5 linked regions of the Ovis aries genome follow. The protein of the gene in region 4 binds, or shares a complex with, the protein of the main gene of each other region. Links are inferred from orthologs where the notes say so. Each region holds a gene or a part of one and is shown on either strand. Other genes may lie near its edges. The genes, in order: POLR2G, ERCC2, GTF2F1, GTF2F2 and GTF2E2.

The links.
Region 1: GTF2F2 (region 4) and POLR2G share a complex: the UniProt entries of both Homo sapiens proteins name them as parts of the TBP-based Pol II pre-initiation complex. The link is inferred for Ovis aries from reciprocal best matches to the Homo sapiens genes GTF2F2 and POLR2G.
Region 2: GTF2F2 (region 4) and ERCC2 share a complex: the UniProt entries of both Homo sapiens proteins name them as parts of the TBP-based Pol II pre-initiation complex. The link is inferred for Ovis aries from reciprocal best matches to the Homo sapiens genes GTF2F2 and ERCC2.
Region 3: GTF2F2 (region 4) and GTF2F1 share a complex: the UniProt entries of both Homo sapiens proteins name them as parts of the TBP-based Pol II pre-initiation complex. The link is inferred for Ovis aries from reciprocal best matches to the Homo sapiens genes GTF2F2 and GTF2F1.
Region 5: GTF2F2 (region 4) and GTF2E2 share a complex: the UniProt entries of both Homo sapiens proteins name them as parts of the TBP-based Pol II pre-initiation complex. The link is inferred for Ovis aries from reciprocal best matches to the Homo sapiens genes GTF2F2 and GTF2E2.

The regions. Positions count from the first base shown.
Region 1 is NC_056074.1:37,614,588-37,620,725, reverse strand, and holds POLR2G (DNA-directed RNA polymerase II subunit RPB7), read right to left. Parts: upstream 3,630-6,138; 5' UTR 3,551-3,629; coding exon 3,539-3,550; intron 3,408-3,538; coding exon 3,298-3,407; intron 2,106-3,297; coding exon 1,946-2,105; intron 1,425-1,945; coding exon 1,374-1,424; intron 1,268-1,373; coding exon 1,202-1,267; intron 1,102-1,201; coding exon 901-1,101; 3' UTR 839-900; coding exon of another isoform or gene 740-838; 3' UTR 600-739; coding exon of another isoform or gene 586-599; 3' UTR 382-585; downstream 1-381. UniProt on the Homo sapiens protein: Core component of RNA polymerase II (Pol II), a DNA-dependent RNA polymerase which synthesizes mRNA precursors and many functional non-coding RNAs using the four ribonucleoside triphosphates as substrates.
Region 2 is NC_056067.1:52,773,769-52,779,208, forward strand, and holds part of ERCC2 (general transcription and DNA repair factor IIH helicase subunit XPD), read right to left. Parts: coding exon 5,409-5,440; intron 5,091-5,408; coding exon 4,967-5,090; intron 4,877-4,966; coding exon 4,780-4,876; intron 4,697-4,779; coding exon 4,563-4,696; intron 4,429-4,562; coding exon 4,260-4,428; intron 2,297-4,259; coding exon 2,178-2,296; intron 1-2,177. UniProt on the Homo sapiens protein: ATP-dependent 5'-3' DNA helicase. Component of the general transcription and DNA repair factor IIH (TFIIH) core complex, not absolutely essential for minimal transcription in vitro.
Region 3 is NC_056058.1:15,923,283-15,929,207, reverse strand, and holds the start of GTF2F1 (general transcription factor IIF subunit 1), read right to left. Parts: upstream 4,088-5,925; 5' UTR 3,676-4,087; coding exon 3,664-3,675; intron 3,580-3,663; coding exon 3,533-3,579; intron 3,049-3,532; coding exon 2,976-3,048; intron 1,778-2,975; coding exon 1,584-1,777; intron 768-1,583; coding exon 597-767; intron 118-596; coding exon 1-117. UniProt on the Homo sapiens protein: TFIIF is a general transcription initiation factor that binds to RNA polymerase II and helps to recruit it to the initiation complex in collaboration with TFIIB. It promotes transcription elongation.
Region 4 is NC_056063.1:15,655,713-15,661,823, forward strand, and holds the start of GTF2F2 (general transcription factor IIF subunit 2), read left to right. Parts: upstream 1-2,760; 5' UTR 2,761-2,893; coding exon 2,894-2,959; intron 2,960-6,111. UniProt on the Homo sapiens protein: TFIIF is a general transcription initiation factor that binds to RNA polymerase II and helps to recruit it to the initiation complex in collaboration with TFIIB.
Region 5 is NC_056079.1:25,876,734-25,882,173, forward strand, and holds part of GTF2E2 (transcription initiation factor IIE subunit beta), read right to left. Parts: intron 2,669-5,440; coding exon 2,561-2,668; intron 1,046-2,560; coding exon 863-1,045; intron 1-862. UniProt on the Homo sapiens protein: Recruits TFIIH to the initiation complex and stimulates the RNA polymerase II C-terminal domain kinase and DNA-dependent ATPase activities of TFIIH. Both TFIIH and TFIIE are required for promoter clearance by RNA polymerase.

The sequences.
Region 1 (6,138 bases), on a different chromosome or scaffold from region 4:
ATTTTAAAGGCTTTGAGAAGAGGGCAAATTCTCTGAAACTAGACCGGGGCCCTAGACCAGAGTCGCTCTAAGGATACAACCATTTGCTGAAAATCAAAGACCCAACAAACTCTGGGAGACAGTGGGAAGCCTGGCAAGCAGCAGTCCATGGGGTTGCAAAGAGTCGGACATGATAAGCGACTGTACAACAACGACCCAACGCTACAGCCTTACCTTCAGTGAGGTCAACTTGAGACCTTGGCAAGAGGGTCAGTCAGATCCCCTGGTGGCTGAGGCTAGTTAAGGCATCAGGCCTAGAAAAGAGGGGCTAGCAAGCCACCAGCCCTCCAGCCTTTTCACAAAATGAGTTGTTCTTGCCAAAGAAAGGAGATGACACTTCCATGAAAATCAAGGACCTTTTATGGTTAGAACGCACAGTCAAAAATCTGGGAGTGGTTGCTAAGCCACAAGAAGAGCCAGGTGTCTTCTGAAGGCAAGGAACCCTCCTTGCCTCCCCGACAGCAGCCAGACTGGGCCTCTGGACAACATGGGAAGTGTGACAGTCACACCTCCTAGATAGGGACCCAACAAGGTAGGTCATGGTGCTCAGCTCACAAGCCCTGCCGAAAACAGAAAAAGCACAGTGGTTAGAACCAGAGCTTGGGACAGCCCTAACCATGCACTTCTCATTCCAGGGGGCAAGTGTCCTTGGTCTTCCAAGCAGACAACATGAGAGTTTCTTTCAACAGTGGCTCAGGCATTAAATTCCATATTCACCTCCTGCGCCCACACACCCCTCCTCTAGACAACAACCCTGGAACTCACCCAAGTAATCATCCATCAGGGAGCCGATAGCAAACTGCAGGAGGAAAGGAGAAATGGAAATGAACCCAAAGCAAGCAGAGAGCTCTCCTCTAACCCTCAGCCCCAGACCTTCTGCCCACCCATCTCTTTTTCCGGGCAGAAGAGCACAAAATCCCCAAGAACTCTGAGTAGCAAGAATGCAACAGCTCGGCCTGGTATGAGCAGGGAGGCAGTCAGGAGACTCACGATGTCATTCTTGTCCACACGGGTCCCCACGATCTTCAAGCGGATCTCATCGTCCTGCTGAATCACAATGTCCTGGGGAGGAGGGAACAGTACACTCAGAAACCCCCAGGCCAATACCCTCCCTCAGAGTGGCTCATTCCCCTGGCCCTCTCACCAACTTCTGCCCACTCACCTCATCCATCGTTTTGTAACACGGTGGGTTGGAGTTAGGATCAAATTCCATCTCTGATGGGATGGACTGAAAGGAAGGTCAAACTGGGTAAGAGCACTTGAAAAGGATGCTTCAGTAGATTCTCATGAGTACAGGTCTCCTTCTTAGACCCACCCAGCGTGCCTAGACTTACGTGTCGAGAGATGAAGCAGGACATGGGCCCGATTTCTGTGAAGAGTCCAACCTAGAAGGGAAAAGAGAGACCTTGCTTTTTCTTTTGTCCCCCAGTCTCCTAAGCCTCCCATCTTTATCTGGTTCCTAACAATGTTCTTCATATTCTGAAACCACTCTGAAATTTGTCATGTGTGTGTTTGTTTTTCCAAGCTTTCATTCTAAGCTAAGGAAGTGTAGCAGTAAACAGCTGAGACCTAGAACTTGTCCTTCTGGGTTTTGAACACTTGTTGGACACGTGACCGTGGCCAGAAGACTCAACTTCTCCAAGCTTCAGCGTGGAGATAAAAGCACTCATTTCAGAGTCAGAGGCTTTGCACACTACCTGGTCCACAGTGGAGGCTACTACTGTTCTGACTCACTATTGACTTACATGCCCCTGAGTGAGGCAGTACCATACTATTTGACAGGTGAGGAAACCTGAAGCACAGAGAAGTGATCTGACCAAAGACACAGAATTTGACCAAAGTGGGACCCATCCCAGATCTTCTAAGAGAGGGACCTTCCCACTACCTCCCCTGTGGATGCTCTTACCTTGTTGACCTGAGTTACCACCGCATCCACGACCTCCCCTTTAAAGGGCCGGAAAACAATGGCCTTGTACTTAACTGGATAAAGGACAAAGCCTCGGCCTGGCTGGATCACACCAGCACCGATATTGTCGATGGTGGTGACGGCAATTACAAAGCCATACCTGCAAGGAGGCAGAGAAACTGAGACACTGTGTGTGGAAGAGCCTCTGAAACCATCTGCCACAGCAGGGCTTCCCTGGTGGCCCAGTGGTTAAGAAGTCCCCTGCCAATTCAGGGGACGCAAGTTCAATCCCTGGTCCCCGAAGATTCCACACGCCACAGAACAGCTAAGCCAGTGCGCTGCAACTACTAAGCCCAAGCCCTAGAGCCCGTGTGCCTCAACAAGAGAAGCTACCACAATGAGAAACCCACACACTTCTCATTTCTGCTGCGACTACAGAAAGCTCGTGCAACAACGAAGACCCAACGCAGCCAGGAAAAAAATACAAAAAAGCATCTGCTGCAAGAGTCACGGACCCTAGAGGTAAAGGGGGAGCACAGAGGGGGGAGTAGTCGGCCCCCTGGCCCCAGGAGAGCTTAATGATCAAGAGAGGAGACAGGACAATCAGCAGCAGCTATAATGCCAAACGCTGCTCTCATAATTTCACAATCAGTGTCCAAAAGGGCTGCAGTCCTTAATCTCAACCTTGGCGATGTCTCAGAATCACCTGAGAGAAACATTAAAATGCCTGTTCCCGGGCTGGTCCCCAGTCTTGATGCTGTAGAAATGAGATGAGGCTCAGGAACCTGTATGTTCAAAGAACACCTCAGCTTACTCTGATGCTGGATACCTGAGTACTCTGCGGCCCTGCTCCTCCCCCCTCATTTACTTCACCATGTGCGGAGCGCCTCTGTGCAGAGCCCAGAGATGGTCAAGTCTCACTCCTCTTCCTTCCTCCGGTTAACTCTCAATCTGCCTTATCCTGCCCATTCATTCATTCAACAAGCTTTTAGTGAGGCCCAAGATGTACCATGCCAGGTCCCTGGGTATGAGGGATAAAGAAAGGGCTGACCTCATTTTGTCTTTTTCACTGCATTGTTCCCAGGGCCCAGTCCTGGCACACAGCCGGAGCTTCAGAAATGTTTGCAGAGTTAATGACAAATGTTGGCTGAGGAAAGGCAGTTCTGTTATGGAGCTTCACAGAGGGCACCGTAGGAACCCAAAGCAGGAAGCAGCTAACTGCCTGGAAGGGTGAGAGGGCTTGCCAGGGTAGGTAGCAGAAGCTTTCACGGTGTGTAGGCGCTGGGAAGCGGGTGCAAGCATAGAAAGCCGTGTGCGCAGTGTTTAGGCGGCAGGGAGGGTGCGACACTCACTTGCCGGTGCAGGTCCCCTCCACCTCGGTGAAGAGCTTTTGTTTCACCGTGTTGAGCAAGTTAGGGCCGAAGTATCGCGGGTGCAGCAGAATCTCGTGCTCCAGGGAAATCTGGGGGGAAACTGGAATGGAGTCGGGCAAGGAGCGGGAGGAGTATGAGGCAAGAAGCCGCCCCTAGTCCCGGCCTTCCGCTTGCTCCTCCTCTTGACCCTGCCCTCGCCGCCACCCCGTGCCCTGCTCACGTGGTAAAACATCTTCCCGAAGGAAGCTGAACAGGAGCCGGGTCTACCGCTTCACGAGCAGCGGAGCCGCCACACCGACCGGAAATACAGCAACCTCTCCAACCCCGTTTCCGGGCCTGCCCCGAAAAGTGGGCGGGACTCACAGCCTCCACGGGTCCCCATTGGGCTTCGCTGTCGTGGGTGGGGAAACCCATGAGGCTCCTCCCCTCCGTCCAGCCGTCAAAGCGCCCAACTCCCTTAAGCATAACAGTATCTCGCATAGATTAGATGCTTAATAAATACCTTTAAAAGGAATTAATTAATGAGAGATCGCATAAATAAAGCGCTTTAGCAGAGTCTATTCATTCTGCAAAGAGTTGAAGACTGCTTTCACATAGTAAGCATAGTAAGAAGCTATCCTTATCTCAATTAATCTAAACAGCAACCCTACCCGGCAGGCTTTGTTATTACTTTCATTTACAAATAAGATACCAGGCTCAGAAGGGTGAGGTCACCCAGGGTCGAGATTCAAATTCAACATGCCTGACTCCAAGGCTCTTGCATATTCAGGCATTTATTACCGGGCTCTTGTAGTTTGGAGTTGAAACCGGCCTAGTCAGAGCCCAGAAGGCAGCGCCCCCTCCCGGTGTGAAAAGAACCTCAAGTCACTGCTCTCCTCTAACCACCCTCCCCCGCCCCCTTACACACAAGGGCCTGTAGAACTGGTGAGCAAACTTTACCTGTTCCTTCAGCTCTACCCCCCCCTTTTGCAGATAGTCCCTTTATTAAACTCAGCACAACGAGAATGAGCATGTAGTCTGTGGGCTGCTGAGTCTCGGAAACACCATGAGACCCGCCCCTATGACAAAGGCTCAGCAAGGGCGGCTGGTTCTAAAGCCTCCACAGTCCCTGGGGTCTTGAACAAACTCGCCTGTTGCCTGAGCAAGTTTTAGTATATTGTAAGCAAGAAAGCCTGATTTCCTTAGAGCTGTCACACACCGGTTTCCATTGATGCTGCCCATTTCCTAGAACGATTGAGGTTGTTGGTCAGCTGCTCAGACTCCATGGGGATCCCCTCCACCAGAGACCACATGAGGAAGCAGACAGCAGATCAAAGGGCAGGCCTCAACAGCCTCAACTCCCTCCTTCCCTCTTTTGAAACCAGCCTCCCCGCAAGAGCAATGGTGTGGTGTGCTGGAGACCCTTACAAAAGCCAACTGTTAATATTTCAGGCACTTTGCAAGCCAGTTGTTAAACACAGCAGTTATGAAAAATTTAGTTGTCTTAACTTATGATTAAATGAATTATACTAAAGAAGGCAAAGACGTAGATGAAACAAGTTTAGCAATATATTAATAATCGTTGAAGACAGATGATGGATAATGGTGGTTTCTTACACTTTCTTCTACTTTTCTGCGTTTGAAATTGTTCATAATAAAAAATTTGAAACAAGACAAAAGTAACTGTGATATTTATAATAAAAACACCAACACATATATACTTGGTCTTCTTCCCCATTTCTGTCACAGAACTCCTAAAACCCTTGGAATTGCCTAAATGATAATGATACCTTGATATTCATAACAAACCTCTTTCAGCCACACCTGAGTTTTTATCAGTGAAGTGAATTTTGGAAAGCACCTAAGCCAGGAGAGACAACCAAGTGACTGGAGGGTTGGAACTTTCAGTCTCAACTCCCTGACCCGGCTAATGAACTAATCAACCTTGCCAGTGCGGTGAAAATCTCCATAAAACCAAGTGGATGTGGTTCAGAGAGTCTAGGGTTGGTGAAGACCTGGAGAACTGGGGAGAGTGGTGAGTTCGGATGGAGTATGGGAGGTCCACGCCCTTTTCCCAGTCAGAAACACAGCTGACTGCTGCTCAGTCGCTTCAGTCGTGTCCGACCCTGTGCGACCCCATAGACGGCAGCCCACCAGGCTCCCCCGTCCCTGGGATTCTCCAGGCAAGAATGTTGGAGTGGGTTGCCATTTCCTTCTCCAATGCAGGAAAGTGAAAAGTGAAAGTGAACAGCCTGACTTAAAATTGCCATTGGAAGGGGAGGGCAGCCTTGTAGGGCAGCCTTGTAGAGCTGCGATCTTAACATGTGGAAACCTGTGTTATCTTTGTGCTGATGGTGTCAGAACTGAGTTAAATTGTAGGACACTTATCTGGTGTTTGTGATTTGCTTGGAAGTATGGGAGAAAAAACACACACACATAGTAATTAGAGTCAGAGTCTTAAAACTCTCACTTCCTGTTTAATAGAGTTTACTATTACAAATGCTCTTCAAGTTATTTATACCCATTGTGTCTGTCTGGTGTAAGTGTTATATATAACTGTATATGCAATTACAAGTATAAGAGTTTCAGTTGCTCTGACATCCTCACCAGCACTTGGTGTTGTCAGCACAGTTTGTTTGTTTGCTACCCTAATAACTGATTATAATTGTGGTCGTAATTTTCAGTTCCCTAATGACTAAGGATGTTGAACATCTTTTCATGTGCTTATTTGCCAAGAGTGATATTTTCAAAACTTAAGCCAAATCTTGTCAATCCCCTGCTTAGAACCCAATGGTTTCCCAAGGCACCAGAATAAAACCATCACTCTTACCTACCAGGCAG
Region 2 (5,440 bases), on a different chromosome or scaffold from region 4:
GCCCCTCCCTTGGGCCGACACCTGTGTGAATGTTCACAGAGGACCCTGAGCCGGGCACCAAAGGCTCACCCCTCGCCCTCCGGGGCCCACAGGGGCCCACCACGCCCCTCCAGCCAAGGCCTCCAGCCTTCTCCCGCCAGTTTTTGTCTGAGCCGTCAGGAGGCTGGTCAGCTCTCCTCCACTGAGCGGTCAGGAGGCTGGTCAGCTCTCCTCCAAAGTCCAGCTGCCCTCTGAGCGCCTCCCCAGCCCCGCCCAGACCGGCCGCCATCGCCCCCTGCCTGGCCCACTGCAGTCGCTCCTCATCCCCGCTCCCTTCACAGCGGCCAGAGGATCCTTGAACTCGAGTCAGGCCACATCCCTCCCTGCTCAGAAGCCCCCAGGGCTCCCCACGACCCTCCCAGGGTCCAGAACTGTCAGGGGGATCCTGCCACCCCAACCCCCTTCCCTCTGTGCTCACGGGCTTCCTGCCTGACTTTCAAAACCACCAAGGTCACACACACAAAAGAACAACCCCACCAGAGTCATTCCACCCCAGGGCCTCTGCACGTGCCCCACTGTCTGAAAAGCTTCCTGAGGCGGCTGGCTCCTGGTCATTCAGAACCCAGCTCAAATGTCAGCTCCTCAGGAAAGCTGCCCTGGTCACCGCCGACACTGTGTGCATGGTCCAACACAGTGCCATGTTTGTGTCTCGTGAAAACTATCACTTTCTGGAATTATCTTCCGTACCCACATTTACATCTTTGCTACCTGTCTTCCCTGCTAGAATTTAAGTTCTGGGAGGTCAGGAATGAGGTCGTTCATGGTTCCTGCCATCTCCCCAGGGCTGGGCCTGGCCCATTTATTGAGCAAATAAATGAATGAACGCATCCGCATAATCAATTTCACTTCGCAAAGATGTTTTTAAAAATATCATCATGTCCTCTGTGCCAAGCCCAGGACTGGGAACACAGCAGTGACCGAGACAACCCTGGCCTCGCCCTCTCAGGACTCACAGTCCAAGGATAGGGACACAGAGCTGTCTCCAGAGTGACCACTCTGAGTGGGAAGGCTGGGACAGGGGAGCCTAAAGGAGAGGGCCTGGCCCAGCCTCGGAGCCAGAGGGGCTTCCTGGAGGAGGAGGAGACGTCTCTCCTGAGCCAAGAACTGAGGGGTGACAGGGAAGACAGTTGGGAAGATGGGGAAAGCTGTTCCAGGTACAAGAATGTGAGGTGTCGGTAGATGGAGAAGTGGGGAAGAGAGGAGGACGGACAGACCAAGGAGGAGGATGGGATGGACAGAGGGACAGAGGCAGAAAGAAGATTCCAGTGACACTTGCTGCCCATCGGCGCTGGGGTGGGGACGGGCTATCTTCCTGCCAAGGCCAGGCCCGCCCGCGGGCCGTCAGACAGGCTGACCTAGTTTGCTGGATAGAGGAGTAATCCCCGGGGATGAGACTGAGCCCTTGGCAGCTTAAAGCTGATGAGTTGGGGGCAGAATGCTCCCCTGTACCCTCCCAGCAGGCTGGAAATCTGAGCGTCCTCCCCCCAAGGCCCCGCACGACCAGGCACCAAGTCGCGGCCTCTTGACCTCCCACGACTCTCTCTAGCACCCCACCCCGTCCTGGCCCAGCCTCTGCCAGAAGAATCCTCTAAAGCGCAATCTGCCCCTACCTCTCCCTGTTCAGAACCTGCCATGGCTCCCCAGTGCCGCTGGGAGAATGACCACCCCCCCCCACATGCCCCCCAGGGTGAGCGGACCCCGCAGATTCTCTCCTTCCTCTCCTCACGCCACTGCCCACCCCCACCCACCTCCATCTGCAGCCAGAGAGAGCCTTTAAAAATACCCTCCTGAGCACAAGGCTCACTCACTCAAGGGCTGTTTGTGGCTCCCCACTGCCCTCAAAATAAGGCCCAGAGCACTTCCCTGGTGGTCCAGGGGCTAAAACCCTGCACTCCCAACACCGGGGGCCTGGGTTTGATCCCTGGTCAGGGAACTAGATCCCACATGCCGCAACTAAAGATCCTGCACGTCACAACTAAGACCGGCGTGGCTAATAAATTTTAAAACAAATAAATAAAGTCCAAACTTCAGAGGCTGGGCTACCCTCTGGGTACTCTCCCAGGGGCTACCCTCTAGGCCCTGCCGGATCCCAATTCCAGCTGCTGGGGGCCGGCAGAGGCAGGAAGAGGCGAGCTTACCCTTCGCGTAGGTACTGACAAGCGTGGCGAAGTTAGCGAGGAGGGTAAGTGGGGAGAAGTCAGTGAGGTCCGAGATCTCCAAGGTGTGCAAGAGGGAGCGGAGGCGCTCGGCGCAGAACCTGGTGGGGTGGGGGGCGGGCAGGTGAGGGAGGTGGTGGCTGCAGGCTGGATAGCCCCCTCGTCACCGTCAGAGCACGTGCTCACATGCCGTCTCCCCAGCCACCTGGCAGCTCCGGGAGGTCAGGGTCTGGGTCACTCTGTGTCCCCACCTTGTACCACTGCCCATCACGGGGGGCACAGCCACAGGAGGGCACACAGAGCAATAATCTCACAACCCAGAGTCACCGCCCAAATTCTTAGACTGTGAGGAATCTGCCTGTAAGGCAGGAGACCCTTCCTGGGTCAGGAAGACTCCCTGGAGAAGGGCATGGCAATCCACTCCAGTATTCTCGCCTGGAGAATCCCATGGACAGAGGAGCCTGGTGGGCTACAGTCCAGGGGGTAGCACAGAGTCAGACATGACTGAGCGACTAACACTCCAGAGCCACACAGTCCTGTCACATGAGGTAACGCTCTCATACACAGGTTCTCAATCAAAAGGGGCGACCCACGACCACCCCCAGCATCCCACGGTCAGCACGTGAACGCCACACGGCCACAGGGTCACACACTCCCGCCCGGATCTCCACAAGGTCAGTCTCGGCCACAGTCCTCAGTGACACAGCGTTAGAGTTCCGCACGCTCCCAGATGATGGCCTCGGTGACGGCTCCTCCCTCACTGAGCCTGACACAGGCTCTACCAACGGCACACAAGCAAGGCCACCCAGCTTGAGGCAGGGACAGGCCGTGTGTGGAGCGGGAGCACCCAGCTTTGGCGCCAGGCAGACAGTCAAGTTTAAAACCTGCCTCCTGGGACTTCCCTGGTGGGCCAGTGGTTAAGACACCCAATGCAGGGGGCCCAGGTTCAAGCCCTGGTCAGGGAACTAGATCCCACATGCCGAGCAGTGTGCCCAAGAAAAATAAGAAATAAAGTGAATAAAACCTGTCTCCTGTATGTCCTTTCTTCCAGTCTGCCTATCCCCCAGGCTCGATCAGACGGCCCCTGTGTTCCTGCAGCCTCCAGGACACCCCCCCACCCTGAGCCCTGGACTGACCCTGTCTGGGAAAGGTCTGTCTCCCCAACTGGACTGTGAGCCCAGGAGGGCAGGGCCAGGGCCGTCTCCATCATTGCTGTGTCCCCAGCACAGAGCAGGCCCTCGGAACACGGACCCTGTGACTCAGATCCCCTCTGTCCTCACAAGTCTCTCGTGAGGGAAGAAGGGTGAAGCCGCACCAAGGGCTCCCACCTCCTCAGAGGCAGAGCAGCCAGGAGCCTCAGAGCCCCACCGGCAGGGCTTCTGGTCACAACCACACACAGTGCCGGGAGGCTTCCCCTCCACGGGACACAGCGTCCTCATCGGCAGCACAAGGCGGGAACTCCGTGTTGTGTCCCCGGGCCGTGGACTGCGAAGCACTCGGCTTGTCATCAGTGCTCTAGACGGGGTGGGTTCCTGGGGTCGCTGCTTTGTCATTAAACCACCACAGGAACCTGGGGGTAAAGGGGCTGACCCCCTACCCCTTGCACAGAGGAGGAAAACTGAGGTTCAGAGAAGACCAAAGACTGATCCACAGCACAAAGGAAAAGCAGAGGAAGCTCCACCCCCACTCCAGAGCCCCTCATCACTGGCCCTGCCCCCAGACTGCACCTGAGGGGCTGGCTCCTGCCCAGGGGCTGGGGGGCAATGAGAGGCCCTGGCAGGAGGAAACAGGGAGTGAGGGGCCCACAGCATTTTCTCCCAGCTCCCATCCCGCTGGCCCTCATCAGGAGCCCCTCTCCAGGGCCACTCCCTCCATGGCCTGGAGTGAGAACACCCCTGAGCACTGGCCAGGGCCCTGGGGTCTCGCCGCCGCCCCCCTCCCTCTGCACACAGTCTTCCATCACACTTCCCGAGGTCAGTTCTCTGATCATGGCTACTGACAAGGGCGCCCACCCCACATCCCCACCGGGACCCCTCCCACGCCCAGCCCCCGCGGCAGCCGCACCTGAGGGGCTTGCGCTGGATGCAGACGCGCTGGGCCAGGCCGCTGAGGAAGGCGGGCGGGCTCTCCTGGACCACATGCTGCACCCGCAGGCGCCACTTGACGTACTCCAACAGGCGGCGCAGGAAGCCCAGGAAGTGCTCGGCCGTGCGGATGGAGCCGGGCACCGCCTCTGCGGGGAGACCGGCTCAGCCAGGCGCCGGGTGGGGGTCGCAGGGCGGGGGGCGCAGGGGAGGGGACGGGTGGGGAGAGGCGGGGCGGGGGGGGGCGCAGGGGAAGGGGGCGCGAGGCGGGGGCACGGCTCACCCTTCAGCACTTCGTCGGGCAGCACGGGGTTGGCCAGGTGGGCATCAGTCTCCCGGGCGGCGCTGGCCTCCCGCAGCCCCTCCACCAGGCGGCGGTACTCCTCTCGAAGTCGCTGCTCGTCCGTCTCCTTGATCCTGCGGGGAGTCGAGGTGTGGAAGAGCTGGGCCACTTGGGGGGCAGGTCAGGTGCCAAGGTCTACGGGCCGGGGCACCCCCACCTGAGCACCGTCTTCTGCAGGGTCTCCAGGTTGGCCTGGCACCGATCCAGGGTGCGGCGGGTGAGGTTGACACTCATGGAGTCGATGCAGACGTTGTCTGGGGGCCAGGGAGAGGGCCGGGCTCAGGCAAGCGGACGCAGCAGCAGTGGAGGGGCCACCTCGCCTCCCCGCCCCACTCTCTGCTCACCGATGTTGTGGGCCTCGTCAAAGACAACCACGGCCTTGCGGGCCAGCTCCTTGGACACCAGGTCGGCAATCTTGGGGTCCAGCAGGTAGTGGTAGCTGTAGACCACCACGTTGGCGTGCAGGATCTGGGGGCCGAGGGGGCAGGGTCACCCCGGGCCGCCTGCCAGCGCCCACCCCCAGGGCCCTGTCGCCTGGTGGACTCCACCAGGTCACATCTCTCCCTCCCAGGCCGGGAGAGGTGAGGCAAAGGGAGGGACACAGGCAGGTGGACAGACAGACGCAGACATGCAGGCAGAGGCGAGGAACAAACAGAAGTGAAGAGGTAGAGACAGACTGAGGAACAGACACAGGCAGACCAATAGGGAGATCTAGGCAGGCAGGCAGGCACACCGACCGGCAGCCTGTAACCCTCCCACCCGCCCGCAGCCCCAACGCCTCCTCACTGAGTATCGGGCCAGGAAGTACGGGCACCAGC
Region 3 (5,925 bases), on a different chromosome or scaffold from region 4:
AGCTCGCTGGCCTTCTTTCTGCTGCGCTTCTCCTTCTCCTCATCCTCCTCGTCCTGGTCCTGGTCTTTCAGCCGCCGCTGCTGCATGATGCTGAAGTGGTTCAGGACCTTGTTTCTCCTGTGGGGCGGGGGGCAGTGTTACAGCAGGGGCTGGCAGCGGGCCTGGCTCCGGGGACCCCCTCTGGGAGTGGGCCTCATCCACTGATGCCTCCCTGCACTTCCACCAGGTGTGCCCCGAGGGAGAGCCACTGACACAACTTAGGTGATGAGAGGGACGACCTGACCCTGAACATGGGGACACAAGCACGTGGCAGAAAGACCCTGAGAGCACACAGGGAGAGCTGGCCCTCCTTTGGTTCCCTGCCTGCCCAGAGTCCCTCAGGAGAAGGTCTCGTGTGATGCTGACACCCTAGCACCGGATCCAACTCCCCACTTCTCCAGTCCCTCTCCCCGCTGTCTCCAGTCCATCTGCCCCCTGGACTGGGTGCTCCTGAGCAGTGGAGAGATCTGGCTTGCTCACCGCTGAGTCCCCAGCTCCCAGCCAGGCACAATGTCGGGGGGTTGCAGCCCTTTTCTAGGCGTGGCCCCATCACTCACCTCTCCCACTCCTCCTCAGCCTCCTCGGCCGTGAGCGTGCGGTGCTTGGCCAGCGGCGTGAAGTTATACCAGTTGTGGACAGGGAAGGCCTCGAAAGCCCCATCAGGGCACTGGGTGAAGATGTAGTAGGAGGTGTTTTCTGTCACGCCGCCCTTCTTTATGCCCTTGAACCTGCAGGGAGTTCAAGGTCACAGTCTGTGTGGGGAAGAAGGACTAGTGCCACATCCAGACAACACCCCCTGCATCCCTCTCTCCAGGGCCATCTGGGTTCTCCTAGCAAAACCTGAGGCTGGAAGGCTGGCCCGCTGACTGCCTGAGCCTGGATTCCCACATCTGGAAAAGGTGGGCTTCCTGCCCTCACAGAGCAGACTTAGGGCTCCTGTGCACTATACACGACATGGTCCTTTCTGGAAGGACCTGTTAGATGGGCCCTAAAGAGCACAGTGCTCTAGTGTCAGACCCCTCTGGATTCCCCTCCGGAATCTTCCTTGAACCACTGCCAGCCCAGCTCCCTCCGGGCCTCCATCCTTCCCCTTTTCTGCCCCACCATGTGCAGGCAGTCTTACAGAGTGCCCCTTCCCCACCTACAGCCTTCAGGCTGCCCTGGGCCCCAGCCTACCCACAGTCCCGCTGTGCCCTGGCACTCTCAGCCCTCTCAGTCCACCCACTCTGCCACTGTCGTGCGCTGTGACAGTCCCTGGGGCTCGATGTTTCACGCCTTCGTGCTCGCTGTTCAACCAGAGTGCCCTTCATTTCCCTTAATCTCTGTCTCCCCCATGGTTCTCAACCCTCAGCTCTGGGCAGTCCTTGGCTGGGCGCAGGAGGACGGCAGGCCGGGATTCCTGCATCCCTAGCACACACTCGAGCAACCCCTTGGCTCATCTTCCCCAAGAAAACCCCTTCATGGGTGGATGAGCTGTCACCCCCAGCTGCAGGACCTAGAAGTTCGGCCAAGGGTACCGGGGAGTGGCGGGAAGGGGCACTTACTTTCGGCCTGATTTACCGTTGACCCGCAGCAGCCAGGGCTGGTCCTCCGGCCGGAACTCCTTGAGGACAATGCCGTACTTCTTCCTCCGCGCCTCCTCCCGGAGCTTGCGGTTGAACTCGCTGCCGGCGCCCGACTCCGGCATCTCCTCCTCTTGGTAAATCTTCTTGTTGCTCAGGTCTCGTTCCAGCCGGGCCTGGGAGACGGAAGGCGAGACTTCTCATCAGGCAGCCTGCTCCCCATCCAACAACACCCCTTCCTCCCCGCAGGCTGAGCGGTGGACCCTCTGAGCCAACTTCCCGCTTGGCGAAAAGAGGCTCTGTGAATGTGGGCGAAGGGATCTGTCTAAAGCCCGCTGCGATGTCTGTTTTTGCAGCTTTTTGAAAGTTTGAAGTTATTTCCAAATGAAAAATTAAAAAAGAAAAAAAGAAAAAAAGACACCCCAGAGTCCAATAACTTCTCGTAACCTGTTTGCTGCAAACCCCATCACAGGCTCACCTGGTCCAGAGCCTTCACCTCCGCCCTGTTCTCCCTTCACTTGCCCTCGACCCCACAGTGGACAAATCTCTTTACAGACTGTTTGTAACCCTTTAATAGCCTCTGCTATGGATGAATGTTTGCATGCCTCCAAAATGCATTCTTTTTGGCTGTGATCTCGGACTTCTGGAATCTTAGTTCCCCCACCAGGGATGGAACCTAGGCCCCCAGCAGTGAATGGGCTAGAGTCCTAGCTGGAGTCCTAACCGCTGTATCTACAGGGAATTCTCCCCAAATGCATATAACCTAATTTCCGGTGTGATGGTATTTGGGGGCGGGGCCTCTGATAGATGATGATTAGGTTGTGAGGCTGCAGCCTATTAGGAGTGAGATAAGTGCCCTCTTTAACAAAGGATTCCAGAGTGCTGTGTACCCAGGTGAGAGTACAGTGCAAAGGCACCAGCTATGAACCAGGACACCAGATCTGCTGGCGCCCTGATCTTGGACTTCCAGCCTCCAGAACTGTGGGAAATAAATGTCTGTTGTTTACAAACCACCCAGTCTCTGGAATTCTGCTAGAGCAGCCTGCAACTAAAACAGTTTCTAAAGACCGCTCTGGAGTCTCCAACAATAGGGGCTCTGAGTCACCTCTAGGAGGCAGCCCCCTCCTCTCTTGCCCAGATAGATCTCGACCCAGAATGCCCATCAGTGGGCACAAATTTCAGAAGAAAGCCTCCTGCAAGGCCACACATATCTTGTCCTCAGGGGTGCCCAGAGGCTCAGCCTGGGCCTTAGTTATCATTTATCTGCACGTGGGGAGAGGGGAGGATCCTAAGCCTTAGTTACTATCACAACCAAGCAACTATTACATCAAATCCAGGGTCAGGTTTTCTCACAGCCTCAGAACTCGGACTTACCTGATTCCAAGTAGTGAGGTTGACTTTATCGGCTGCATTGAAAGCCATGATATTGTATTTTTTGGTGGTATTTCTGGTATGGGCAAAAAGAGGCAGTGCTCAGTTAATCATTCATTAATTCAGCAAACCCTCCCAGGCTCAGTTCTTTGTGCTGGGCAACGCTGGGGACCCATGAAAAAAACCCCAGAGATCAGTTAAGGACAAATATTTCTGGGAACTCAAGATGGGATAATTGGGAACTCAGCCCTGGGCAGCGGGGTGGACAGGCAGGGACTGCCTCCTGAAGGAGGAAAATACTGTAACGGAATTTCGCAGGATCAAAAAGAATCCACCCAGTAGAGTCACTGTTGCCATTCCTGGCTGAGGGAATCCTAGGCAGGCAGGCTGCGTGTTACTGTATATTAATGTACTTATTCATTCACTCTGTTAAAAAAACAGTGATGCCCCAGAGGCCTCGGCTCAACCCCAGCCCTGGAAGAAGAATCAGACACTCCTGGAACCTCGAGATTTTAATCCTTTTCTGGAGGGAAAGGGGGTTGGTAGGGTCAGGGACTTACTTGGGAACTCGGACGACATACTCAGTGACATTCTGGCTGCTGGGGCCCTGAGGGGAGAGAAAGCAGGACAGTGAGTGAGAGGCTACAGAGGCCACCGGGACCGCAGCCGAACCGCCTGGCCGCACACTTACGAGGGCCGCCATGGGCGATGGGCGATTGACCCGGGTCTGATCAGAACCTTTCTTTACGCCTCCCTCCGGGTGCGCGTCCCTCGGAGGCCGCCCTCGAGGTGTCCGGTCTCCGGCCCGGGATACAACCGATCCTGGGGAAAGCTATCCGGAGGCGGCACTGGGTCGGCGATTGGCTTGAGACCGCCTGTGCCAAGTCTGCGCCTGCGCAGCCGCCTAAACCGGAATCGAAATCCTCCCGCAGGCCTAGGGGAAGCAACCTACTCCCAACTGAAGGTAGCGCCTTCTGTATCTAGCGCTCTGGCGGCCCGCAGTTTGTATAGCACGATAATCCCATCAGGCCGATAACCTCATCACGCGGATAACCCAAACAGGTGACGTGAAGACGCCCCCAGTGACATTACATCTCAGGACCGCGGGGTATCTTGGGAAGGAAGGGAGGAAACCCGCCACCCTCGCGGCCTGTCGGGCCATTTGCGCATGCGCTACTTTACTGCGGAAGTGAGTCCGGGGAGGTCGCGTTACCACAGCAACCGAGGCCTCCTTGGCAGCCGACTGCTGCGGCTCTACCTGAGCCTCTTTGGGGTTCATTTCTCCCCACAGCCCCCGGGGGTAGCCCTATCATCTCGCCAAATAATCGGGCCAGGGGCCCTTGTGACGTTGAACCGAACTAGGAGAGGTCAGGGCCTGTGTAGGGGATGGAGTGCGCTCACCCCACGGGCCTCAGGCGGGTTGGGTTTGTGCAAGTCCAAACTGCCCCAAATAGGCAGGCCCCTGAGGCCCCAGAAGAAGGGAAACATCGCGGGGGTGGCTGGTTTACTCGGGAGAAGGGAAGGAGGTTATGGAGGGCGGGAGAATGCAGGTAACCCCTCCTCAAGTCCAGGTGTGCACACGCCCTTCCTCCCGGCCCCCTACCTTATTGTAACACAACTTCGCATGCTCAGGGTCAGGTATTCAGTGATCCATGTTAGCACCTGCTGGGCTTCCCTTGTGGCTCAGCTGGTAAGGAATCCACCTGCAATGCGGGAGACCTGGGTTTGATCCTTGGGTTGGAAAGGTCCCCTGGAGAAGTGAAAGGCTACCCACTCCAGTATTCTGGCCTGGAGAATTCCATGGGTCACAAAGAGTCGGACACGCCTGACTGACTGACTGACTGACTTTCACTTTTAGCACCTGCTGCGCTGGATTCTGGGAAGTCCGTGGGGAATGTAGGAAGCCAGCACTATAAACTACAGGTCTCCATAGATGTTTCTGATAGTTATGGACATTTATCTACTCCTCACTTGCTACGATTATGTCAGAAACTATGCCAAGTACTAGAAATACAGGGACAAGGAAGACAAACAGATTCTGTGTTCTTGTAGTACATAGTCTGACTGGGGAGACAAACAAGAACAAGTAAACGGGCAGACTCATTACTGATAGTGACCATTACTGGAGGAAATGGAATTCTTTTTGTGGGGTGGTGGGGAATTAGGGTTTTGAGACTGGGAACAATGGGGTGGGAGGCTCTTTAGACAGAGATTAGCTGAAGGGTGAGCTGCAACCTGAAGGGACTGCAGTATGGACTTCCAGCAGGGGTGGGGGTCGGGGAGGAGCAACAGGGAGGTGATGAGTACAAGGGTCTGAAAGGAGGCCACTGGGCTGAAACAGTAAAGAAAGGGGAGGGTGGTATGGGATGAGACTGGAGGGGTGGACAAGTCCCTGTCCGTCTCAGAGCCTCAGTTTCCTCAACTGTAAAAGGGGTGATTCTTCGAGGAGAGGCTGCACACAAAGGGCCTGACCTGCTTGGGTTCACACCTCATCCACATGACCTATAGCAGTATTAATGGGTGCCGTGCCTGGATATATCACTGGGTGTGGACACACACCCCCAGATACCACCCTAGGGCAGAAATAGATCTTCCAGCAGACATGTGTCCAGCGTAACCCATTGTAACTGTGGACACAATCCCCTCAGCACCAACTGACCCCTACAGGCACCAACCCCTCTCCCCTGTCCCTCTTCCTCAGGCACGCAGACATCCTCAAGTCCCCCTGATCGTCTTTGTGATGGGCGGTCCAGGCTGCGGAAAAGGGACACAGTGCAAATACATGGCAACCAAGTATGGCTTCTGCCACATGGGGCTGGGCCAGCTGCTGCAGCAGGAGGCCCAACGGGGCACCTGGTGGGGCCAGAAGATCCATGACTTCATGCTGCAGGGGATCCTGGTGCCAACAGTGAGAGCTCCCAGGCACGGCAGCAGAGGGATGAGGGGGCCCATT
Region 4 (6,111 bases):
AGCCCGTGTCTCTCATGAATGGCAATAGAGATACCTAACATATCTGCACTGGATATACCTAACTGACTGCAAGGAGAAATCCAGGGAGGGACTTCCCTGGTGGCTCAGCAGTAAAGAATCTGTCTGCAGTGCAGAAGAGGCAAGACACACAGGCTCAATCCCTGGGTCAGGAAGATCCCCTGGAGGAGGAAATGGCAACCCAGTATTCTTGCCTGAAAAACCCCATGGACAGAGGAGCCTTGCAGCTACAGCCCAAAGGGTTGCTAAGAGTCAGATACGACTGAGTGGCTGAGCACAAGCCTGGCAATCCCAGGAACCTGTGCAAGAATCTTGTGTTAAGGGTATAGGGTCATGGCGGAGGGACATAAAGCTGGATCAGATCTGGCTGCAGGATCTGTTCCCATGTTGGTCTCCAAAGTAAATCTGTGAACCCGTTTCACGGAGCCCCATCCTCTTTTCCTTTAGTGGCCCATTAGCATTCTCTTAAAGCTGGAAGGAAATTTGAAAAGGACAAATAGGAGAAGTCTGTTCTTATTCAACAATGTCTGAGGATGATTGTTGTACCCGATCCCTGTAAACACACACACACATTTTAAAACTTCCCATTAGCCATAGATCAAAGCCAATGTCCTAATCCTTTACTCTGAAGTTCATTACTAGGGTGATCTAGGTTATGTTAATTCTCTTCTCATATGGTCTTATATTTCAATTTATTCCTTCTTTTTTATTTTTTAAAGGAGTCAAACTCTTTTTAAAAATTATTTATTTATATATTTATTATTTTGGGTTGGGCTGAGTCATTGCTGCATGTGGGCTTTCTCTAGATGCAGTGAGCCAGGGCTACTCTTAGTTGAGGTTCATGGACTTCTCACTGCAGTGGCGTCTCTAGCTGTGGAGCACAGGCTCTAGGCACAAGAGCTTCAGTAATTGCAGCTTGCAGGCTCAGGAGTTGTGGCTCATGGGCTCTAGAGCACAGGCTCCGTAGTTATGGCGTACAAGCTTAGCTGTCCCGCAGCATGTGGAATCTTCCCAGACTAGGGAACGAACCTATGGCCCCTTGCATGGGCAGGCAGATTCGTTTCATATCCACTGCACCACCAGGGAAGTCCAATTTATTCCTTCTATTTGACCAAAGCTTAAAGCAGCTCTCTTTATCCACTTGTCCTTTTTATATTTTTAAGGCCATTTCTTGAGCCTTAAAGAACACACAAGACTGTGATCTTCCTCTTCAACATGTTCCTGATCTCCTGTTTTTCCTGTTAGGTTTCCCCAGCTGATCTCAGAGCCCTGACAGCTTTTCCTAGCCCTAGGCTGAATAGACATGGAATTTCTTCAATTCTGTGTATGGTTCTGATGCAGGATTCAATACGTCACTTGCCATTCTTACAATATCTTACTGTTTGTTTCTTTTCATGCAAATGTTCATTCAGCCAAAGCCTACTGAAATCTGATGTGGTGTCAGCTTTGTGCCAGATGCTTTGATTAAACAACAAGAAAACCCACCATTTCTGCCTAGGAAGAGCGCATAGTCTAGAAAGCAAAGGCAGTATGTAAACGAGTGCATTATAGCTCATCGTGCTAAGTAACGCACACTGTGACGGGAAGAAAAAATTATCTTCCTCTGGGGGAGTTGATAGAAGGTCTCATAGGAAGAGACATTTCCATTAATCTTGAAACCTAAGTAGGTGTCTGCCAATCAGAAGGCAGTACGGGAAGAATAGGGCATCTGAGTAAAGGGAATCCAGTGTGCAGAGGCTCTGAATAATTGAGGAACATTCTGATACGTTCCGGGAGGTCTGACGGGTTAGATGGGCTTAGATGCGTGGTGCATTGAGTACACCACACTTTGATGAGGTCAAACTGTGAGGGCCTATGTGGAGAGGACTGAATTTTATTCTAGAGGCAAGAAGAGAGAGGGGAGACTCTTTAAGCAGGGGAGTTGAACAATCAGAGTTTTCTGTTACATGTCTATTGTCATTGACGTCATGAAACGGCTCCAAACTTGCGGACACAGCCGGGAAAGGAGAGGGCGCGACAGACTGCCAGCGTACCACTGACATGTATACACCACCATGTGTAAAAAGCGATTAATAGCTCGTGGGTAGTTGCTGTAGCGCACAGGGAGCTCAGGTCGGGGTTCTCTGACAACCTAGAGGGGTGGGATAGAGGTGGGGTTGGAGGGGGGCTCAAGACGGAGGGGACTTATGTACACTTACAGCTGATTCATGTTGTCGTAGAGCAGAAACTAACATAACATTGTAAAGCGCTTATACTCCAATTAAAAATAAATTAAAAACAATAGCAAACAAAAAACAAAGGGCTCTGGGTTTTGGAGTCTTAAAGGGGTGCGCCCTACTCGTTTAACTGAAGGTGCTCAGGGTAGCCTTTCAATAAAGACCACTCTGCTAATTCATTTTATTCATTTCTCCTACCTGTCCTCCAAATGCTGTCTTTCTCTCCTTGGCCTGGATTGGACATACACTGACAGCCTTTGTCTCTTTAAACCCCGTTTTTCTGTTTTGACACTTTCTTCTGTTACTCTGACCTGGTCTTTATATGTACTGCTGATGTTTGCGCCCATCCCAACCTCGTTTTCAATTACTCAGACACAGTCCCTGGAAGTAGCCACGCCCACTCAAGAAGGTGCACGCCGATGAAGTTTGTCCTCAGTAGCGCGCCGTACTGACGGCCGCAGTGCGCAGGCGCAGTTCCCCGCTGCCGGCCGTGTGTGTTCTTCTTTCCCAGGGCTCCCGGCATCCCGGAAGTTGGACCGCGGGCTCTTCACAGTCAACCTCCGGCCAGGGTTCGCCGTGTGCTTCGCTCCCTCGTCCCGCAGTCACCCGCTCCCGGGGCCGCTGCTCTAAGTCCGCAGGTCTCCGCCGGCGACAGACCCATGGCCGAGCGCGGAGAACTCGACCTGACTGGCGCCAAACAGAACACCGGAGTGTGGCTGGTCAAGGTAAGGTTTGCGTGGCTCTCGCTTTTAAAGTAGTTTAAGTGACTTGAGGGGAGAAGGAACTGGCAACCCACTCCAGTACTCTTGCCTGGGAAATTCCATGGACGGAGGAGCCTGGTGGGCTACAGTCCATGGGGTCTCAAAGGGTCGGATACGACTGAGCGACTTCACTTTCTTTCTATAGTTCCTTTGGGAGAAGGAAGTGGCAACCCACTGCGGTGTTCTTGCCTGGAGAACCCCATGGACAGAGGGGCCTGGTGGGCTGCAGTCTATGGGGTTATAAAGAGTCGGACACGACTGAGCAACTAACATACACGCGCGCGCACACACACGCACACACACACACGTAACTTGAGACCGTCCCACTTTGTGCACCTTTTAAAACTCATTAGGGCTCTCTCGTTTAGAACTTCGCTTACCTTGAGAGGCAGGGTTGGTTGGTAGGCTTGTTTGCAGACGAGGACATTAGTTCAGGGACACCCAGTGTGTTTTAGCCAACTAAGAGTCTGAACGTGCCTGGAATGGATCTCCTTATCCCACGACCTGGTTTTTCTGGGCTCCTGTCTTGATGGCCCCCCAGTTTGAGCATTTTATCCCAGGCTGAAGAATTTCTTCATCTCCACTTGCTGAAACTGATTTCAGTCATCAATCTCTATAAGAAAGTTGAGCGTTTGCTTTCTGGGTAGTTTTCTGAGCCAGAAAGTAGAACTGTTCTCTGAGTACCCTGGTGGCTCAGATGGTAAAGCATCTGCCTGCAATTCAGGAGACCCAGGTTCGATCCCTGGGTGGGGAAGATCCCCTGGAGAAGGGAATGGCAGCCCACTTCAGTATCCTTGCCTGGAAAATCCCTTTTGAAGGAGCCTGATAAGTTACAGTCCATGGGGTCCCAAAGAGTTGGACAGGACTAAGTGACTTCACTTTCACTCGTAAGGTGTTCTTTTAGGTTGATGGGTCTTATGGAGTTCCCAGGAGAGGTGAGAGTGCTCTGAACTCAGGGAAGGAGAGACTGTGGACTGGAGTGTTCTTTTAGAGTTCGATTGTGTCTCAGGTGAAACTGTCAGTAATTTTTTTTTTTTTTGGTAAAGGCAGCATTTTGATTAACCCTTAGTAAGTACTTACTGAGCTTCCCTTGTGGCTCAGCTGGTAAGGAATCCACTTGCAATGTGGGAGACCTAGGTTCGATCCCTGGGTTGGGAAGATCCCCTGGAGGAGGGAAAGGCTACCCACTCCGGTATTCTGGCCTAGAGAATTCCATGGACTGTATAGTCCATGGGGTCGCAAAGAGTCAGACACTGAGCAACCTTCACTTCTTCACTTAGTGAGTACACTATTTATCCCTTACTTTTTCAAATTGGGGACTGTTGTTTCTTAGGAAGTTTTCATAAGACATGTGTATATTCAAAATGTGATTATGATAGTCTTGAAAACTCAAGTAAAACATAGAGACCTTTATTTGTTAGATTTTTGGAAAGCTTTTATCACACGTCTGAGTGTTTATCAGTTAAATCTGAGAGGCCCTTCTAGTCTTCCTCTCTGATGTAGCTCCCTTATGATTCAGTTCGGTCGCTCAGTTGTGTCTGACTCTGCGACCCCATGAACTGCAGCACACCAGGCTTCTTTGTCCATCACCGATTCCCGGAGCTTACTCAAACTCATGTTCATTGAGTCGGTGATGCCATCCAACCATCTCATCTTCTGTAGTCCCCTGCTCCTGCCCTTATGATTATTCACTAGCATGTTGAGCCTGTATTAACATTCTTCAAAGCACATGCACAGTCATATTTCGCGAGAGTAGGCGTCTTGCCTGTCACCCAGAACTGTGTTTGGTGTAAGGTAAATAGCTCAGATAATGTGATGTATGCATGCATGAATGAATGACTGAATGAACTCTTATTCTTCAACCCTAGCCTTAATCTCTGGTGCTGCTTTGACTTATCACAGTGATATCAGTGTGATTTAAAATGATGGAGTAACCAAGTATCTCTCTCCTCCTGCATGCTAGATGGAGAGAGATCATTAGGGAGGAGATCTCCTTTGCAGATGGAAAGAGCTTGAAAAGGTGGCGAGAGCTTGAGGTGATGTGTTTCTGCTTGGAGCGCAGTAGATGCTCAATAAATGTTTGCCTTACAGAGGTTTGGATGGGGGGCCATAGTATCTCCGTAGCATACCATGGAGAGTGGTTCTGAAATGCAGGAGTGAGAATGCACAGTAATGTGGTGTGGGCTGGAAAACAAAGAGGACATCATGCCTGGAGTAGCGGATTGGGACCGTATACTGACATCATCACGTTGTGAAGTGGGAATGTTTTAACACTGCTGCTGCTGCTGCTAAGTCACTTCAGTCATGTCCGACTCTTCGTGACCCCATAGACGGCAGCCCACCAGGCTCCCCCGTCCCAGGGATTCTCCAGACAAGAACACTGGAGTGGGTTGCCATTTCCTTCTCTAATGCATGAAAGTGAAAAGTGAAAGTGAAGTCGCTCAGTCATGTCCGACTGTTTGAGACCCCATGGACTGCAGCCCACCAGGCTCCCCCGTCCATGGGATTTTTCAGGCAAGAGTACTGGAGTGGGGTGCCATTGCCTTCTCCAGTTTTAACTCTAGTCTACAGGAAATGAGGAGACTCTTGGAGGGTTTTGAGTAAGGCAGGGATACAAATGATTCTTTAAGCGGGGTGGGGCAGGGGGGAAGCTTGAAGAGAAGATAACCAGAGTCAAAATTAGGAAATTATCACAGGATCCTAGACATTTGATAGTGAAGTCTCAGGAGTTAGGGAAACTTTTTCAGCAAAAGTTGTCAGGATGTGGTGACTGACTAAATGAGGATGTAAGAGAAAGTTACAAATCTAAACTAAAGAAATTTTAGTGTTCTCTCTTATATGGCCATTTGAATATATTTTATTGCTTTAAAAAGAGGTCTTACTAATGATAGTTCAAATTAGAATTTTTCTGTTCAAATTAGAATTTGAATAGAACTGCATACAATTTTAAATCTTTTCGGTAGACGTTCATATTTCTTATTATAAATCATGCCTTGAGCTCTGATCTTTGAGGATCATTTGTTGCAAAATATGTGAGTTCCTACAGTGTCGCAAGTTTATGGGCCATTTCTGTTCCTAATTAATTTGTTCATTATTAATTTCCTCACTAGACAAGG
Region 5 (5,440 bases), on a different chromosome or scaffold from region 4:
ATCATGTTCCCATTATGGCTTGCAACTGTAATTATCCTTTTTGTCTGGCTACTGATTGTGAACACTGATAAAACATCTATACTAGTAAAAAAAAATTTACCAAATCGGCTTAATAACAAATTGAAGGTAAAAAAGAAAAGTCAGTATAATTAACAACAGATCAATAGGACAAAAAAAATCCAAAAGCAGGCACACACATATGCGCGTACACACACACCTCCCCCACCTCCCCCGCAAGGCACTAGTGGGACAATACCAAAAAGACCCAACACGTGTAACTGAACTACCAAGAAGAGGAGAGAAAGAAGCAAGCTTTCTCCATGGGTAGCAAAAAAAAAAAAAAAAAAGAACTTAAATCTTCCAGATTAGCAGCAGTCATTAGCAACTGTGACTAACAGAGACTAGCAGCCTTCCCAAGAGAGTCGAAAATTCAAACTAGAAATATAGTCTCTATCACATTTACTGACTGCCCCTTTCAGAATGCAAAACCAAGTTATCAGTCAGTGCTTTTGTGTTTTAAAGCCTCTGGTTCCCTCGGGTTGGCAATGTGCCCAAGTGCTGTTGAAGGAATCCTTGAATACAAACATTAACAACTTAAAAGAAAAACACTAATGCCATTGAGGAAATCTTTCCAGACGCATTTTGAAGAATCAATTATATACAACAACATGAGAAAGATGTCAAAGTTACACAAAAATGACTATGCTCTGTCCTGTTCTATAGCACAAAACACAAATTTCAAATCTTCAACTGATGATGGAGATGGTTTTAAAATAATTTTTTTTTAAGTCGATGTTTTTTAAAGCCAAAAGACAGTATCAATTCAAGTTATATTAAGGTGTAGAAAGAAGAGAGGGGTTACCTTGACAGCTTTCTGGGAATTGGGCAATCCTTCCTCGATGTCTTCTAGAAGAATCCCTCCTAAGCCTCGCTGGTCATGCTGATCCAAGAGCCTAAGCAGAGCCTTCTTATCTTTCAAGTTGTACTTGGGCTTAAAGGCATACTTTCCATCTACTACTTCAATTTTGGGATTATTGACTAGTGCCTGAAACAGTGACACAATTTCAACATATTAACAAAAGGAAATACCATACATACATTATTTAATTCTACTAATACTAAAAAAACAACAATACCTAATACAGAGGCAAATTAAAAGTATCTTGTGGATATCAACAGATCTAAAAAACAGGCTATCTATCAATAGGCTAAAACAACAGGCAGAGATCAGCACGGTGCTCACTTTTTATTAAAAAAAAAAAACTTTATTATTCACATAGAATCTCTGGATAAGAAAAAAACCAGTTTATTAGAACTGCTTTGAAGAAAATGTACCCATATTGTTTCAGAAGACAAAAGAGGTGAGAATCAAAAACACACCTATTAACATCAATAGCCACTGCCTACCCACCCTTAAAGTATCACATATCAGAATTATAACGTGAAAAACATTCCCCTGGGATGAACATATCAAAAATCAGTCTGTCTACATGTTATCAAAAGGCACTAGCAGCTGTAGAAGGACTTCAAAAGGACCAGAGAAGTACAGATACGAAATTACCAAAATGTCAGTTGAGACTGAAACTGAGAAGGAACACAGAAATTTCTGAATATAATTATGTTCCCAGTCAGTCCTGTTGTATAACTAATACCAGAAGGAAAGCTCTTCAAGAAAGAGCAACCATTTTATTTTCTTCTACAGCTGCCAGCCTGACCATGAAAGGATAAAAAAACAGAAGAAATGAGAACAGAACAGTAATTAAAATAACCTTTACCTAATGTCAGTAATCCATGAAATTTCACAATTAGGAAAAGCATCAAAAATGTGGATTACTAATATGAGCCACAATGATACTGCCTAACTAGTTCATTTTACATTATGAAAATCAAGACTATCTTGCTTGGTAAAATAAACTGAACTCTATTTTAGAAGTTTACATTTAAAATCAGCACTGGTCTTAGAAAGTTGCTTTAATGAATTGTCATTTCATACTTAGCCAGAAAAGAGACAAATATCTCAATTTTTATTTTAAAGTGCTACTCATTTCCAAATCAACACAGTCACTGATTGTTTTCAGATTCATTTTCTTCCAATGTTGTGTGTATATATACAAAATATTCGTGGTTATTTTTCCAAGTGACTTGCCAGATGCAGTAACATCACTGTCAACTCATAATAGCAGTAGCAGTACAACAAATATATTTCTTAACAAAATATTTTGCTTTCCCTATAATACTTCAAGCTTTAAATGTCCCAAAACATAGAAACAATACAATCTGTCAAATACATACATTACAAATTAAGCAATTCAAAATAAGCATCAATTATTCTGTAAAAACTTAAAAATTAGTAGTGACTGACTTCTTTACAACTTTAATGCTACTGTCTCCAACATTTTAAAATAGATACACAGAATATACAAAAACAAATCAATCTCAAAATGTGTATGTTTAAAAAAAAAACCCTATACCAATTCAAGAAAAAACATCAGATTTCAGCATATGAAAACCCTACTTACAGTAAAAAAAATTTTTTACGATAATTTAAGACTATTCTTACCTCACTCATTAGCCATTGCTTCTGCTTGAGTCCAATATCTAAATGTTGCGTTTCATCCAAAATTTCTTCTAAAGTAAGAGGATGTGTATCTCCTCGCTGATGTCGTGTCTATTGAAGGAAGAAATTGCTATTTGAAGACGGTTTTAAAATGCTAGGTGTATTAAATAACAGGGTAAATGAATCTTTTCAGGAATGTAGAATGTGTAATTATTTGAAGCAGTACAATTATAGTGAAGAAGAGAATGGACTATAAAATCAGAACTGAGTTCAAACTTGAAGCTACATAAAATCAAACAATAAAATGAGAAAAAATATTTGTAATTCTTATCACAAAAAGTTAACCTTCCTAACATTTGAACAGTTCCAAAAAGCTAACAAGAAAAGGACCCCAAAACAGGAACATACAAATCACAAAAAAAGAAACGCTAATGACCATCAATGGAGGAAAAGATACTCAACTTCCACTAAGATATTTCTCATCTATTACACTGGCAAAAATCCTTATTTGACAACTCAATTGGTAAGGCTATAAGGAAACAGGCCCTCTAACACACCGATGGTAAACAATGCAAATTGATATGATTCCTTGGAAGGGAATTTGGCAACAGAAATGCACTGAAACCCTTAATCTAGCAAATCCAATTCTGAGCATTCACCCTAGAAGAACTACAACATAGAAAAGCAGAAAAGTTACCTGCAGCCTCCTTTTAAAAGGAAAATATTAGAAACAACTCAAGTAGCCATCAATGGACCTGAGTCTGAGCAAACCTCAGGAGATAGTGAAGGAGAGGGAAGCCCGGCGTGCTGCAGTCCATGGGGTCGCAAAGAGTTGGGCACACCTGAGTGTCTGAACAACAAGGGCCCATCAACAGAGGACTGATTAAATTACAGCATATCAATGCTACTATACAGATGTTAAAAAAGAAAATACAGGTGTTCGCAATGTGCTGATCTGCAAAGATGTCCAATACAAACTATTAAGAAAAATATGTTGAGACCAAATGCTGGTGAGGATGTGGAGAACAGGACTCTCCTTCTTTGCTGGTGGAAATGCAAATGGTTATGTGCAGAGTACATCATGAACTGTATAAAAAAGGTCTTAATGACACAGAAAACCACAATGGTGTGATTACTCACCTAGAGCCAGACATTCTGGAATGTGAAGTCAAGCGCACCTTAGGAAGTATTTTGACAAACAAAACTAGTGGAGGTGATATAATTTGTGGAGGTGATTTAATTTCAGCTGAGCTATTTCAAATCCTAAAAGATGATGCTGTGAAAGTGCCACACTCAATATGTCAGCAAGTTTGGACAACTCAGCAGTGGCCACAGGACTGGAAAAGGTCAGTTTTCATTCTAATCCCGAAGAAAGGCAATGCCAAAGAATGTTCAAACTGCAGCACAATTGTGCTCATTCACATGCTAGCAAGGTAATGCTCAAAATCTTTCATGCTAGGCTTCAACAGTACATGTACGAAGAACTCCCAGATGTACAAGCTGGATTTAGAAAATGCAGAGAAACCAGAGCTCAAACTGCCAACATCTGTTGGATCATGGAAAAAGCAAGGGAATTCCAAAAACATCTACTTCTGCTTATCGACTATGCTAAAGCTTTTGACTGTGCGAATCACAACAAACTGTGGAAATTTCTAAAAGAGATGGGAATACCAGACCACCTTACCTAAGAAACCTGTAGGCAGGTCAACAAGCAACAGTTACAACTGAACATGGAACAAAATTGGGAATGGAGGACTTCCAGCTCAAGATGGCACAGTAGAAGGACGTGTGCTCATCTGCTGCAAGAACACCAAAATCAAAACTAGCTGTTCAACAGCCATTAACAGGAGGATTCTGGAAACTACCAAAAAAAGATACCCCATGTCCAAAGGCAAAGAAGCCACAGTGAGACGGTAGGAGGGGCACAATCAGGATAAAATCAAATCCCACACTCACCAGGTGGGTGACCCACAAACTGGAGAACAATAATAGCAAAGAAGTTCTCCCACTGTAGTGAAGGTTTGAAGCCCCACATCAGGATTCCCAGCCTGGGGACCCAACAAAGGGACTGAGAATCCCCAGGGAATCTGACCTTGAAAGTCAGCAGGATTTGATTCTAAGACTTTCACAGGACTAGGGGAAGCAGACTCCAGTCTTGAAAGACACAAACAAAACTTTGCGTACACCAAGATTCAGAGGAAAGGAGCAGTGACTCCACAAGAAACTGAACCAAACCTACCTGCTCATGCTGGAGAGTCTCCTGTGGAGGCCTGAGTCAGCAGCGGCTCACCACAGGGACAGGGGAACTGGCAACAGCTGTCTGGGAAGGTCCCCTTTGGTGTAAACTCTCTTGGAGGTCACACTTAACTGGACCATAGAGCTCACAGACCCCACGGCTGGGTCACCTCAGGCCAAACAACTACCAGGGAGGGAGTGCAACCCTACCCCCATCAGCAGACAATTGGAGTAAAGCTTTACTCAGCACTGAAGATGGTGACTGCAGCCATGAAATAAAAAGACACTTACTCCTTGGAAGAAAAATTATGACCAACCTAGACAGCATATAAAAATCAGAGATATTACTTTGCCAACAAAGGTCCGTCTAGTCAAGGCTATGGTTTTTCCAGTAGTCATATATGGATGCGAGAGTTGGACTATAAAGAAAGCTGAACACCAAAGAATTGATGCTTTTAAACTGTGGTGTTGGAGAAGACTCTTGAGAGGCCCCTGGACTGTAAGGAGATCAAACCAGTCCATCCTGAAGGAAATCAGTCCTGAATATTCATTGGAAGGACTGATGCTGAATCTGAAACTCCAATACTTTGGCCACCTGACGCGAAGAGCTGACTCACTGGAAAAGACCTTGATGCTAAGAAAGATCGA